Linked DNA regions of Cricetulus griseus. The protein of the gene in region 3 binds, or shares a complex with, the protein of the main gene of each other region. Links are inferred from orthologs where the notes say so. Each region holds a gene or a part of one and is shown on either strand. Other genes may lie near its edges. The genes, in order: Rpl13a, Igf2bp1, Syncrip and Dhx9.

Region 1 (4,291 bases), on a different chromosome or scaffold from region 3:
CCCCTGGTCGGCGGTGGAGGAAGAGCAGGCCAGGCAGGCATTAGCACAAACAGTCTTTATTGGGCTCACACCAGGAGTCCGTTGGTCTTGAGGACCTCTGTGAACTTGCTTATTTTCTTCTCCACGTTCTTTTCTGCCTGTTTGCGTAGCCTCTGTGAGGTGAAGTAACAAGCGGTGAGTGGCTTTCTCTCCCAGACTACCCTTTCCCGCCCCAGGGCATATGTGAGGGTCCTGTCCTCACCAAGAGCTGCTTCTTCTTCCGATAGTGGACCTTGGCCTTTTCCTTGCGTTTCTCCTCCAGCGTGGCTGTCACTGCCTGGTATTTCCACCCGACCTCATGAGCCAGGCGCCCCAGGTAGGCAAACTGCAGGGGCACAAGGCTGTAAGGACATGGGTGTCCCGGCAGCACAAGGGTGAGCTAAAGGACCCTAGAGGTTCTCTTAAAGGACATATCCCCCTATACAGGAGCCCCTACTGGCATCAGCTGAGCCTGTGGCATTATCGGCACTGCCAATCGGTGGCATCCGAAGACCATCGTGAGAAAAAAAACATCATCTGCCAGTCTACAGGTCCCACCTAGACCACTCTGCAACTTTAAGCTTACCTTTCTAGTAGGCTTCAGCCGCACAACCTTGAGGGCGGCAGGGACCACCATCCGTTTTTTCTGTTAGAGAAGGAGAAGGGCTCAGAGACCTTTTGTGAGCATCACCTGGGAAGGAGGCTGGTGGGGCAGGCGTCTCAGCTAGTGGCGTTTTCATGAGGCTCAAACAATGTAGGTAATAGCAGAACATCACAGACGCTGGACACAGGCTGTGGAAAGCTAGGCTTGCGCTGCTCACCTTGTCATAGGGAGGAGGGATCCCATCCAACACCTTGAGGCGTTCCAAGGCAGCCTGGCCTCGCTTAGTCTTGTGGGGCAGCATGCCTGTGGGAAGAACAGGACTCCCTTCAGAGGGGCTGAAAAGCGCTCTTAGCCCAGATCTGGGAGCCCACCCAGCCTCAGATGGTAGTGCATGTAGAGTTGTCTCATAGTTGGGAAACTCGAACACCAGTGGGAGATCGCTTCATCATAGGCTGCCAGATTCCCCATTCTCCATGGCACCCACAGGCCCAACTCACCTCGTACAGTGCGCCAAAAAATGCGGCTCGGGGCTCGGAAGTGGTAGGGGCCTCGAGAGGGGTTGGTGTTCATCCGCTTTCGGAGGAAAGCCAGGTACTTTACTGCCAAGAAGAAAAGTGGATGAGGTCGAGTCTACACCAAGGACCTGCTTGTCCAGAACTTAGGTCAGCACCCCACCTAGAGATGATGCCCTGGGCCCTCACTCACACTTGTTTCTGTAAAAGTTTCCAGAAATGTTGATGCCTTCACAGCGCACAACGACTACCTTCCGGCCTAGAGAGAACATGGGTTGTGAAGACAGCCAGTAAAGTCACCCCTAAACACCCAGAAAAACCACATCCTAGATGAAGTGCAAATCTCCTGCTCCAAAACCACTTGAACCAGGAAGGAGTCCAGGAGGGACCGTCAAGTCTCAGAGCGGTGCATGGGTTGATCTCACAGTCGTGAGACTCAAACGAAAGATGGTGATTGTTGCTCATCACTGACTTGCAGGCAAACAGAAATTCTGAATGAAACTTACCCAGTAGCACTTGCTTTGCCACAATGGCCGCCAGGCGGCCCAGAAGATGGCCTCTGCCATCCAACACTAGAACCTGTGGGAGACAAAAGGCTTAGGAAGCAGTCTGGCTCTCTCTACCAAGTTACCAACCACTCATGCCAGTGCCCTTCCCCACAGGATGACTTATCAAGCAGATAAGGTGCCCCAAAGGGGTACAACAAACCAAGAGAAAGCCCAAGGCTGCCCCAGCAGCACGTGAGAAGGGTTCAAGTGCCTGCAATCTTAACTGAGCCTCATCTCGTTGTCATGCAAAGACTCAAATGGCTGGAAAACTGCAATCTACTACTTCTTGTGCAAGCAGCCAGCCTTTAACAAAATCCCATGCTAAGACTTCGTTTGGGGTAAGTTTAGGCCACGGTGGCTCTGCATCATAGTCTCAACTCGCTCACAAGGAACAGAAACCATACCAATAGTATAAAGCAAAACCCAATAATTCACTATATAATGGCTGCCCTGTCTAGTTTGTAATTCTGGAAAGCAGCAGTCTTCAAGTCTCACACCTGGTGGCTGGCATGTGCTTGTAACCCGGCCCAAACGACAAGAGACGGGCAGAGATCCTCCAAGCATTTTTTAAGAAGAAAAAATACCCCAGCAAAGGTGATTTCGATTACTGAATAGCCTCAAAATCCCGATGCTTCTCACTAATTCATCCCGTAACACTTAAAGACTTTGAAAGCACCCTTAGGACTGACAGAAGCTACAGAAACCGGCACGCTTGAGTCCCGAAACCAGGAGTCTCTAACTCAGCAGCTTCGCATCAGAAGCGCAGCAGCGAGCGGCCCCGAGCTCCCCGCGTTCCAAGTGTCTGAGAGACGGACCTCTCAAGGTTGCTAGCGGGTGTCGGGGCCCCAAGCCCCACTCCCGTCTCCCCGGGAAACACGTAGCGTTCCGTCGCCCCATACCTAAAGACATGCGCGGCTCGCTATGCCCACGTTACACTGCCCTCGCGTCAAAACGTTCTTCCTTTGCTCAACTGCGTCCTTAAGTCCCACTGCACACGCCGAGCGGAGCGGAGGCCCCTTCCGCTCCGGCCTGGCGCCCGCCCGACCCCCCACACCTCCCGGCGCGCGCAGAGCCCGACCTGTCCCTCCGCCATCTTCGGCAGCCGCCTGGGAAAGGAGGAGGTCTTGGCGCAGGGTTTCTTATCCCTTGCCGCAGGGGCGGAGGAAGTGACGCAACCCGGGACGAACGGAAGGCTTTCTGTCTTTTCATTGGTTGAAGCGGTGTGCATGCGCACACTGGACGGTGGGTCATCTTTATATGGTCCAATCACGGACTGGTTTGAGCTGGACCTTCGCGGCCATGACTGTGTGGGGCGGGAGGTCACGTGGGTCCCGAGGCGGCTTCGGCGGGACGGGGCCGTCCGGCCCCGGCGGCCATATTTGGAGGGAGCGCTGTTCGCTCCCGTATCCGCTGTGCGCGGCGCCATTACTCCCTCAAGGACCGGCGGCTGCGGAGCGCGCGGTGGCCGCCAGGGGGCGAGCGTAAGTCCCGGCCGGTCTCGCAGTGTCCGCGTCCCCTCCCTTCAACCTCATGGTGTGCGGACAACTGATGGCCTTTCTTGAATCTAGGAGTTTCCGAATGTTAAACCGGTGGAGGTAGTCACCCCAGAAGGAAGAGACGGTGGGAGGAAGGACTTGCAGGGTCCTGGGCCGCAGACACGTGCTTCTGTTGCAATGGCCTTTGTATCGGCTAAGCATGCCATCTGAGATACCCTCCCTGAGGGGTACCTATACCTCCCACAACAAAACACAGATTGGGCCGTCTCACTGACTCACTTTCTCTAGAGAACCTCCCCAAACTCCCCAGCCTGACTCGATTCCTCCTGGAGGCTCCAGCACTTTGTTTTCCTGCCACTTGGTGGCTTTATGATCTTGCTTCTGCCTCACATCGGGGTTCTGTTAGAGAGAGCATCACCCAGTGCTGACCCTGGGCCATTGGTGGCCTCAGAAAACAAACCTGTTGTCGTGGTTTTGGCTTCTGACATAGTATTTCTGCAATCCTGGCTGGCCTTAAACTTGAGATCCTGCCTCAGCTTCTGGGGAGGTGGGATTACATGACCAAGCCCCGCAAAACCAAGATCCTGAGACCTAAAGCAGCCCACCCACTCCCTGTCCCGTCCACAGATAGGTCCGGAAGATCTGGTAAAAACCATTTATATACAAATTCATGGGAGCAAGGAGTTTGTACAGAGTGGGGTGAGTGGGGCTGGGTCCTGATGTTGACTTCATCCTGGGGAGAGGGCTGGAGGGGCAGCAAGGTCCAAGAAGGGGCCAGGCTCTACCCAACTTTCCCTGTGTCCAGGTTGTGCAACATCTGTCAGGTGACGCCTGCTTGGCCTCAGTATCCTCCTCTGTAAAACTGGATCATCAATGGTCTGTCTGAAGACTGGAGTTCTCAGCACCCTTCAAGCCCTCTACCACTGAGCTTACACCCTCCCACCTCTCCCTGCCCCTCCCTACACCCACCCCACCCCCCTTTAGGCTAGCCTCGAATTTCTGTGTATTAGTAGATAACCCAGAATCCTGACCCTTCTGCCTCCCCTCCAGGGTGTAGGAACTCGGACTTGCACCACAAAATCTACTCCAAGTTTTTTGTTTTTGTTTTTTCCG
Region 2 (3,991 bases), on a different chromosome or scaffold from region 3:
TTAAACCATTCTCAAGAGCAGAAGGGGAAAGATCACATATTTCAGAATTCCAGTTATTAGATTCCCCATCAAGAGTTTTGAATTTAAATATTCATAATCTTCAAATAGACCTCAATTATGTTATTCTCTCCCAAATTTTTTCAAAGTAAGACTTTTCTTTCCTTTTCATTTTAGTGCCTCTTTGCTCCTAATTCTAATCACCTTTCCAATTTCTCAAGCATCTGACAACAAATCACATACTCTAGAAACAGACACAATATTGATCATCTATAGAGGCAATCATTCAGTTACTTTAAAATCTGAAGGCAAACCACAGAACAGTTTATCTCCAGCTAAACTTTAGATTCTTTAAAAGTACCCCCCCCACACACACACACACCAAAAGCACAGCACCCACACACATTTCCACCTTAGGAAAGGCCAAAAACTGTTCAGAAATTCAGGAAGTTTCCAGTTGAAAGAGGGGTTGAGGGGACCAAAAATGTACTGAGGACTGCTTCCAGCTAAAGACAGGAAAGAAAACTGCACTGTCAACATGTTCAAAAAGTCTGATGTGAGAAACACTGCCCTTATGCTACACAGTCAGAGTTCAACCGAAGACTTCAGAATTCAAAGCACCCTGAATTTTAGGGGAGCAAGATGGAGATACCCCATTTTGATGGAAAAGATGGAATACAGGGAAAAAAGAACTCAGATGAGAACACACACACACACCCATTCATCCCTGGAGTTCTAGACCCTCCAAAGAGCCCCAGCTCACAGCCTGAGCACAAAGCTCTCACCCCAGATGGTCCCTTGTAACAATGGGCTGAAGGAGTGGGGGTGGGGGGGCTGGAAAGGGATAGTACAGCCAAAGGATATTCTTTGAAAATCCAGTTGAAGGGGCAATATAAGATGCGAGGGGCTGGGGATGAGGGTCTGTGAGGGGGGCAACAAAAGCCATGCCTATAACAGAAATTAATACGGCATAAGCAGATTCTAATAGGGGTGGATTGCTCATTATTTCACCCCCAATGAGAAAGGGATTCCCCTAAATCCATTTTCAAATTATTATGTGGATGAGAGAAACAGAAAAAAAAAAAGAAGAAGCCTGGCGGGAAGTTAAAGAAATCACCCCCGCTATGAGTTTGAACTCTGTATATCTACGCTTCCCTACAAAAATGGTCCCTCACTTTGAACTAACTCCACAGGGCTTCCCCCAATTGATTTTTTTCTCTTTAGTTTCTGAAAGTAACATCTTTTGGCCCACCCCAATCCCAAGTTGTTGTTGTTGTTTTTTTTTTTTTTAAAGCTCTAAAACACCCATTACAAGATCTTGGCCAATCTTATTTCCCAGCCCCCAACATCCGGAGTTGGGAAGGCCAGTAATGGGTTTGTTCCACTGGAGACGACGCTATGGATTGGACCCCCTTAATATTCCTCAGTTCCCCCAAATGAGTTCTTTTCCTACCTTTGTTTTTTGGGGACCGAGTGTTCAATCTCTAGGCGTTTTCCTTGTAGCTCTACTTTCCCTGAAGATTTAAAAAAAAAAAAAATGAATGAGGGAACAAGAGTGGGGGATGGGGAGGAAGGGAGGATAAGGAACATTAGCTAAATTCAAGAGTTTGAGGGGCGTCTTAGGAATCTAGGCACTAAGCTGCCTAAGCCTTGGCGGGGGGGTGTTCTACCTTGCTCCAGGCATGGTAGAACCCGTAAATTCGTTTTTCTCAAATTTTCGTTTAATTTCCACTAATCACGTGGGCTAGTTGCAGGGACTGCTCCGAGAGCCAGATTTAGGAAAGGTGTGAGAGCGTTTGTGTGGTGAGCGCGCGGCTTCTGCGGCTCCCAGAAGTAGGAAGGAGCCCGGGGAAAGGATCACCCCGTTTCTCCGAGTGGGGTGGGAGTAGAGCATTAAACTTTATTTTCCTGCCGAGCCTCGGAGAAGAGCTCAGGCGACTAGGCGTCACCTGTCGGGGCCGGAGGGCTAGCCGAGGGCCCCGGGGGGCGCGGCGCGGCGCGGCCGGGTGGGGAGGGTCCCTCGCGGCCACCGCGCGCCTCTCGGCCCAGCCTCGGCGTCTCGGGAAGCAGCATGGCGACCCGGCGCCGCCGCCGCGCCACCCGGCTCACGCCCCACTTTCAAATCAAAATGGCTCAAGCCCCAGGCCTTGGGCGGGAGGCGGGAGCCCCTTCCTCCCACGTCCTGTCTCAGGGCGAGTGCCCAGGAAGAGAGCGGGAAGACCCGAGGTGCAGGAGCACCCCTCCTGGGAAGGCCTAGGAGGGAGAGCATGGGCGTGGGGGTGCTCCAGCAGGGGGGGCCTCCCAGCGGAGGGGTGCGGGCACCGGGGAGACCACGCCTAGACCCGGGGCCCGGGAGACCCCCACCCCCACCAGTTGCCGACGGGGGCTCCCGCCCCGTCGGTGGGGAGGGGGGCGAGGAGCCTCGCGTGTCCCGGGCTGGGGGAAGGGAGAAGGGAACCCCGACCATTCCCGCGTGGGGAGGGGGCGTCGAGGGAGGTAGGTCGAGGCAGGCTACCGAGGCCGAGCCCCGCGGGCCCGGGAAGAGTTGGCGGGCAAGAAAAGAGGAGCTGCGGGTCTCCGTTGTTCTGGGATTTCGTTGTGTGGTTTTGTTTTTTTTTTTCCCCCGGGGAGGTGGCCGCGCTCTTACCCGAGAAAGTTTCGATGGCCTTCATCGCCCAGTGTTCGTCGGGGCAGTCCACGAAGGCGTAGCCGGATTTGACCAAGAACTGGCCGCTGTAGGAGATCTTGTGCTCCGCAAACACTTTCTCCAAGTCTGCGGGGGTCACGCTCTCGTTGAGGTTGCCGATGTAAAGCTTGTTCATGGTGGCGGTGGCGGGGCAGGACGTGGTCCCGGGCAAGGCCGAACGGGCGGGCGGGCGGGCTGGCGAGCGGAGAGCCTCCTAGGCCGAGAGGCGCGGAGGCGGGCGGCGGGAGCTGCAAACTTTCTACGCGCCCCACCCCTCAAGTTGTCCGGAGCTCCGGGCGGGTGGGCGACCTGAGGGCGCGCGGAGGTCACGGGAGAGTTCGGGGTGGCCCGGGAGAAGTGCCCGCGGAGCGCAGGGAGGCGGACGACGCGGCGCAGCTCCTTCCCTTCGGTCCGAAACCCCTGCGAGCGGGCTGGTGTGTCACGTTTCTCCGCGGCCGCCCTGGCGCCGCCTCTAAATAAAATCGACTTGGAAAAAAAAAAAAATGGAGCGGAAAAAAAAAAAGGCGAAGCCACGTGGTGACAGCCCCCACCCACCCTGCAAGGAAAGACCCCCGACGCCACCGGGCCCCTGGGCCGTCCAACCGGGACCAACCCAACAGTCTCCGGTCTTGGGGGGCACCCGGCGCACCCCAGGGGTTAGCCAGGAAGGTGGAGACGGAGTCCCCGAAGCTCCCCTCGCCCCCTCCCCCTTTGCAAGAACCTGGCCCCTGAGGCGGCGCCCCGCCCCCACCCACCCCTCTTGCCACCGCGACCTGCCCTGGGGGAGGGCGGTGGCGACCCAAATCTCCCCAGTCCTTTGGAGTGAAACGTTCGGTCATTTTTTTATTCGTTGTGTGGAGACTGGGTTGCCCACCCCACCCTGGTAAACTGCTAGCGACTGACAGGCGGGGGACGGCCGAGACAGACAAAGAGAAGCCGAGGACTCCGGGGTCTTCAGGAGGGGATCGCAAGAACCGGCTAGTTAGGGGGGAAGACGCCTTCCCTCTACGTTTCTAAGCAGGGCGTCACTGTCTTCCCCTCCACACCCCCAGGAGACTTCCCTGGCCTCCCGGGTCCAGATCCGGGGGACCCTGGTCGCGCGGGACAGCTCCTGGGAACGAGGGACCCGCGGCAAATGGTGTTTCGGGATCCCCGCCGGAGCAGAGCTGGCTCGCACCCAGTCCAGCTGCTGGATGACAGCTCTCCAGCGTTCCTGGGGGGGAGCCGGCGACCCGGCTGAGGTCACTCCCGAAGGACCAGCGGGGTGGGAGAGGATGATGCGGGGTGCTCGCTCCACCGAGAGCCGGC
Region 3 (2,456 bases):
AATTTAAGCTTTCAGTATTTACTAATTAAAAGTTATTTTCCTTTTAATTAAGAGGGAAGCACAATGACTTAAAAGAAAATGCATCTCATAAATTAAGCACTCACATTATTCCCAATATCACATTAGTTGTTTCTTTGCTGAGTCATGCTGCACAAAATAATCAAAAGGGCAATACTCAATTGATTTTTAGATTAAGTTAGAAAAAACTTGAAACAACTAGTGTTAAGTGTATCCTACAACTGTTTGAAACTACCTGTAATTGTCCTTGTAATACTTTATCATGAAGTTAAGAGTTATAAAAATACTTACCAACTTAAACTTACTACACATACTAATTATAAATTTTGGTTGAGAACAAGAAGTCTGTTGTATAATAGCACTTTAACCCAGAAGCAGAAAACTGCAACAAGTCAGTGTTGTGTAATGTGCAGACATATTCCACACAAGGACTAACAAGGCCCAAACCCTTTAATTGGCCTTGACATGCTAGAGAATTTCAACCAAATTTGCAGGAAATTTTGTGAAAAACGAATTGTAAACACAGTTTTAGTAAGTATACATTTAGGTGTGAATTTTTTATTGAAATTAACAACAGCATAAAGAATACAAGTAGCCAAATGGTTTTGAAAACCCAATTAGGTCAAAGTTCTAAATTAAAAATAGCAGTTGTGTACCAATTTACCTTATTCTAGCAATTTAAGTTGGTAACATACAAATAGTTGTTCTGATACAAGATATTAAAGACATACTTGGTTTTTAATCAACTACCTTTCAAGACACCAAATCTAAACACTACCCAGAAACATTGTATGTACTACAGCCAAATGAGCCAAATTCTCAATCAGGAATGCCAACTCATTTTTCTCTTAACTAAGAATACCATTATTGGAAAAAAATAAAAGTAAAAATAAAATCAGTTCGCCAGAAACATAAGTGTGGCTTTGTTCATGTCCAAGCGGATTGGATTGTTAAAATATATACATAAAGGGAAAATCTTGCCAGATGTCTCAAATTATAACTGCACCTGTTTAGATTTAGGGCCAGTTTCTGGCCAATCTATCAGTCTCCAATTTTACAGATTCCCTATTGTTTCTACTTCCACTGTTGCCCAAAAGTATCCTGATAAAACTCCTGGTTTTCAGTTTTGTAACCATAGTTACCAGAATGATCACCACCTTGGAGCGGTTGCTGAGCAATGGGTTGGGAGCCCCAGTTCTGATTATTGGTCTGGCGCCGCTTGGAATCTGGCTGGTTGTACCCATCAGCTTTGCGCTTTCCTCCTACATTTCCACCGCGGCCACCCCTTGCACCACGTACCCCGCGGCCTCTTTGTTGTTGGGCGCCTCCTCTCGCACCACGAACGCCTCTTGCTGATCCAGGGCCTCCTCTCTGTGAATAACCGGCTCTACCACGGGGAGGAGCAGCCCCACGACCTCTTGATGGAGCAGCACCCCTTGCTCCTCTACCACCCCTTCCTCTAGCTCCAACTTGAAAATCTTCATAACCATAGTATGGATCTTCATATCCACCACGATAGTTATGGTAATCATAACCATAATAATCATAATAATCTTCATATCCATAATAATCTGGAGGATATCCATAGCCACCTCTACCTCCACGCCCTCGACCTCTTGTTGGGGGAGGCATATGAGGTGGACCATAATAGTAGTAATCATCATACCTAGTAAAAAGAAAAAAGACGGTGATTAGAGTAGAAATCAAATTGGTGATCTAGCATGTAGGCATTTATTTGTAGCAACTCAAGTCTTTAAAATGGAATTATTAGCACTATGTTAAGTTCTTAGCAGGAATAAGCAGGACCAGGATAAAAGCAGACATCCCAATAATTCAGAAATCTCTATTTATCCTTCATGATTTCACAATTCCTATAACAGATTTTTTACAAACTTCTTAGGCTTTAAAATTTGTCACTCTGAATTACAACTCCTTTACCACAGACCACATGATATAAAATAGAAATGCCAAATAAAGGACAAGCAAATGACGAACTTTTTTTTTTAGCAAAATGGCCTAAAGACAAATATAAATAAATAAATAAATAAATGGCTTATTTATTGAGTATACAGTATTCTTCCTGCACACCAGCAGAAGGTAGCTGATCTCATTGCAGATGGTTGTAAGCCATCATGTGGTTGCTGGGAATTGAACTCAGGAACGCTGGAAGAGCAAGTTTGCTCCTTTAACCCTAACAAGTAACATCATGGCACTGTAGAATAAAAGTAATGTTACAAACAAGAGAGCAACAATCTGTAACAGAAATGCACCCTTAAAAAGAAAACAATAGAAGAAGCCACATCATCATTCTGACATTTTTCACCACACATAAACACAAATACTCATCTTTGAGGCCCTAGGCCCTGCCCCAGAGGATATGACAGACTTTGGGGATACCCCATGGAGGGCCTCACCCTCCCTGGAAGGAAGGGTATGGG
Region 4 (3,565 bases), on a different chromosome or scaffold from region 3:
AAATAACCTACCAATACCCACCAACATTTTGCCAAAAGCACAGTATCACATACAAAGGAAAACTAATCCTAATATCCAGCCAGCTACTCAAGTCATAAATCACTACTAAGCTCTAAACTAAGTTGCATAAATTCTTACTGATCATCATAAACAAAGTATTACCTGATGGTTCACAGGTTCTCTTAACAATATTCAGAAGTAGATGAAAGGAAAAGAGCAAGGAAAAGCAATTTATTCAATTAGACATAGACAAATCATCCTCTTAATTCATAAGTAACTTACATTAATATCTCTTTCATGAATTTCATCTACAATTACATGACTGATCCCTCGAATCCCCGCTTCTAATTTTCTTAGGAGCACACCTTGAAAAGAAAGTCAGAACAATTATGAGACAGGTTAGGTTTCTTTGTTAGGTAGTCAAAGAAGCAACAAACAACAAATTTTGGCTGGGGTTGGCTGGCAGCACATACCTCTAAGATCAATTATTTAGAGCATGGTGATCATACAGTCACATAGAGAAACCTTTTAACAAGGAGGCAATCAACCCTGCTGCAACACAATTCTATCATTGTAGAAGAGGTCTGAAATATCCTGAATCATATTCTATTTTGAGACTTTTTTCTGTATTGTCCTGACTTTCATGAACTCATTCTATGGTTAGCCTTAAAAAGAGATATTTGCCACCTTCTGCCTCTATAGCACTAGGATTAAAGTGTGCAATACTGTAACCTTTTTATAGTCTTAGTATAAAAATGTGACAATTGCAAATGAGGTATCAAAATGCATTACTGACCTACAGTACAAAACATTATACTGGCATGGGGGCGTGGAAGTATAGACTCAAAGCGGACACTGTAACCACAGCTTTTTCCAGGCTCTTCACCTCTCTCATAAGCAACTCGCTCAGCCACTGCAACTGCACTGATCCTTCTCGGCTGAAAAAACAAAACAAAACACAAAATATGAAACTTCAGAATTAGTTATACTGAAAAGTGTCTATGTGTTATATGCATGATAAAAGCTAGGTTACTACAAAGAGAAACCATGTGTTAAAAAAAAAAAAAAAAACCAAAAACCACCCTAAGTTACATGTTAGGCAAGTGCTCTACCACCAAATACTCAAGCCTTTTTAATGTTCTGACTACATATTCAAGTCCCACCTCAAACTGTTAACACCACACCCAGCTCAAATTTCAAATTACTGCAATGGCTCTCTTTGACAGCTTACTAACAGAAACATGATAGTTAACACAAGTACCTACCATGCCAAGGTTCAATATCAAATCCCCAGTACAAAGGAAGATGGCAGTGGGGCTAGAAACTTAACATTCTTGAAACCTTGTTTGACCACCACCACAACAAACCCCCAAAAACTCCCAAACTATTAATAGAACTCATACACTGGCTTGGTATTTACCTGAGTCACAACAATATTACACTCTGCTGCTCGGCCATTCTGGATAAAGTCATCCAAAATGTACTGTGGAACCTGGGTGGTTTTACCACATCCAGTAGCCCCACGGATTATCACAACCGAATTTTGGCTAATGGCTTCCAGGATTTCAGGTTCAAATTTCTTCACAGGAAGCATCTCTCTCTCTTGTAACACCTGTTAACACAGTTAAAACTTAGTAAAACTTCCTTTGAATAATTTTCCTTTCTAATTGGCTTACTACCAATATTTGTATTTCTAATAGAATTGATTCTCAACTAAATTTCTAGAGAATCTGTCTTGTGGTCCTCATTCTATTTCATTCTTAGGTCTCCATAAACATTCTAAATGTAATTACTTGCCACAAAATGTTAATAATTTTTCAATTTGCTGCAGTGCGTTCAAATAGTAGCACAACTCATTTTTAGGTCCTGAATTAACAGCCACTACTATCAGATTTTAACTATGATACATGATTACTAATTATTTCAGATTTGTCATTCAACCTAACTACACTGTTCTGAAACACTAGACAATGAATGTGAAAATCTTCACCACTTACACTTTGTAAATTATGATCCTGTTCCAGCTGGTATGTTAATTCATTCTTTAGGTCCATGCTGATTTGTTCTGTAGAAGCCTACAAAAAGAACACATTCAAACAAAATCTCTTTTATCCTGACCCAAGGAAGGAGGAAATCCCAAAAACTGATCTTAGAAACCTCGTGGTACTCACATAAGCCAGGGGCCCCTCATCAATGTTGCTACTAGTCCAAGGATTCCAGTTGGACTGTGGAGGTGACCAAGGTACCACTCCCACTGCGTTTTGCCTCTGAGATGGTTCAAAATGAGCCAATTTCCCAATGTTGAGTATAACTGGCATGGAAGGATCAACAGGCTGATAAAAAAGCAAAACAAGTAAATAAAAGGAAACACTTGTCTAAGTGAAGATTTTAAAATAAGGTTAACTACAAAAGGCTATATATATGCTTACTGGGGGCACAATTTCAAGATCTAGCTCTTGAACCACATTTTGCAGCTGATGCTCCAAATCTGGAGACAGGAAAACTTTGTACGGCTCCACCTACAAAAAGGAGTAATGAAAATCATTAATACAACCATGAATAAAATTCAAAATTAATTTCACGAAAATAATATAGAGTTGAGACCGGGGTTATTATAGACACAATCAACAATTCCTTTTAGTGAGAATTTCTTTAATGACTCACTCACTGACTGGATCCTTATCAAAGTGCTAATTAAATCAATGCAGCATTTTAATTTCCTGATTTACTAAGCTTTTAGCTCAGAAATAGTATTTGGCATTTAAGACCCCTAATTTCCATTATAATGCCCTTGTCCCCAACTCATTCAACTTCTGTAGCCAAATATTAAGTTACTCAGGGTAGTTATGCCTAAATACATACTCTCTCGCCTTCTTTCTTCTTTGTAAGCCCAGAGTAAGCCTCAATCACTCCAAGATGATAGAGTTGTCGGACAAGTGAGAGGGCACATGACTGTGCTGCTAATTTCTTGTTTGATCCATGTTCACGTGCAAAAATCCCTATAAGAATTACCACAGACAGAAATCAGCTACATAAAAAAACCATCAGAAACAAGTAGGCATTTTATGTACCAAACAAACACCCATATAAAGTACATCACAGTTCTTTTCATTCCATTCGCTATCCAAATACAATTCCTACAACCCACTCATCTTTTATTACCACATCATGAAACCAGATAAAAAAAAACTATATAGACAAACTAAAAGCCTTAAGTATAATATCCATGAAGAGATTTCCACTTAATGAATTAAAACTCCATGGGCATAGTAGAGTACCTATGATCACATCTCAGGATTACAAAACTTTAGAGCTAGATCATGTTAAAAAATATAGGTCTTCTAAGTCACATAGGCTATCACAACTGTTCACTCTTCTTTGATACAAAAGTAGATGCAGAGTGAGCTTGAATTCATAGTTCTATGAAAGCCAGAGCTACCTCAAGAACTTGACCCCCCAAAAAGCAGAGGAACCACTACTGTCCATGAAAAATTTCCATATGTTAAATTTAACAATGTATTAAGTTGCAGAATTCAGAATTTGTTACAGAGAGAGAATTTCAGAA

The links.
Region 1: Syncrip (region 3) and Rpl13a share a complex: the UniProt entries of both Homo sapiens proteins name them as parts of the GAIT complex. The link is inferred for Cricetulus griseus from reciprocal best matches to the Homo sapiens genes SYNCRIP and RPL13A.
Region 2: Syncrip (region 3) and Igf2bp1 share a complex: the UniProt entries of both Homo sapiens proteins name them as parts of the coding region determinant (CRD)-mediated complex. The link is inferred for Cricetulus griseus from reciprocal best matches to the Homo sapiens genes SYNCRIP and IGF2BP1.
Region 4: Syncrip (region 3) and Dhx9 share a complex: the UniProt entries of both Homo sapiens proteins name them as parts of the coding region determinant (CRD)-mediated complex. The link is inferred for Cricetulus griseus from reciprocal best matches to the Homo sapiens genes SYNCRIP and DHX9.

Annotation. Positions count from the first base shown.
Region 1 is NC_048599.1:154,013,340-154,017,630, forward strand, and holds Rpl13a (60S ribosomal protein L13a), read right to left. Parts: upstream 2,853-4,291; 5' UTR 2,776-2,852; coding exon 2,761-2,775; intron 1,714-2,760; coding exon 1,641-1,713; intron 1,610-1,640; exon of another isoform or gene 1,527-1,609; intron 1,394-1,526; coding exon 1,328-1,393; intron 1,222-1,327; coding exon 1,120-1,221; intron 1,079-1,119; exon of another isoform or gene 994-1,078; intron 926-993; coding exon 840-925; intron 802-839; exon of another isoform or gene 732-801; intron 665-731; coding exon 605-664; intron 561-604; exon of another isoform or gene 472-560; intron 365-471; coding exon 242-364; intron 153-241; coding exon 66-152; 3' UTR 39-65; downstream 1-38. Other genes in the region: Flt3lg (fms-related tyrosine kinase 3 ligand), read right to left, coding at 3,907-4,032. UniProt on the Homo sapiens protein: Associated with ribosomes but is not required for canonical ribosome function and has extra-ribosomal functions.
Region 2 is NC_048600.1:109,139,955-109,143,945, forward strand, and holds the start of Igf2bp1 (insulin-like growth factor 2 mRNA-binding protein 1), read right to left. Parts: upstream 2,820-3,991; coding exon 2,645-2,819; intron 1,512-2,644; coding exon 1,451-1,511; intron 1-1,450. UniProt on the Homo sapiens protein: RNA-binding factor that recruits target transcripts to cytoplasmic protein-RNA complexes (mRNPs). This transcript 'caging' into mRNPs allows mRNA transport and transient storage.
Region 3 is NC_048597.1:198,373,588-198,376,043, forward strand, and holds the end of Syncrip (heterogeneous nuclear ribonucleoprotein Q), read right to left. Parts: intron 1,685-2,456; coding exon 1,093-1,684; 3' UTR 557-1,092; downstream 1-556. UniProt on the Homo sapiens protein: Heterogenous nuclear ribonucleoprotein (hnRNP) implicated in mRNA processing mechanisms. Component of the CRD-mediated complex that promotes MYC mRNA stability.
Region 4 is NC_048598.1:38,197,772-38,201,336, reverse strand, and holds part of Dhx9 (ATP-dependent RNA helicase A), read right to left. Parts: intron 3,000-3,565; coding exon 2,863-2,999; intron 2,520-2,862; coding exon 2,430-2,519; intron 2,334-2,429; coding exon 2,172-2,333; intron 2,076-2,171; coding exon 1,998-2,075; intron 1,613-1,997; coding exon 1,421-1,612; intron 939-1,420; coding exon 797-938; intron 366-796; coding exon 283-365; intron 1-282. UniProt on the Homo sapiens protein: Multifunctional ATP-dependent nucleic acid helicase that unwinds DNA and RNA in a 3' to 5' direction and that plays important roles in many processes, such as DNA replication, transcriptional activation, post-transcriptional RNA regulation, mRNA translation and RNA-mediated gene silencing.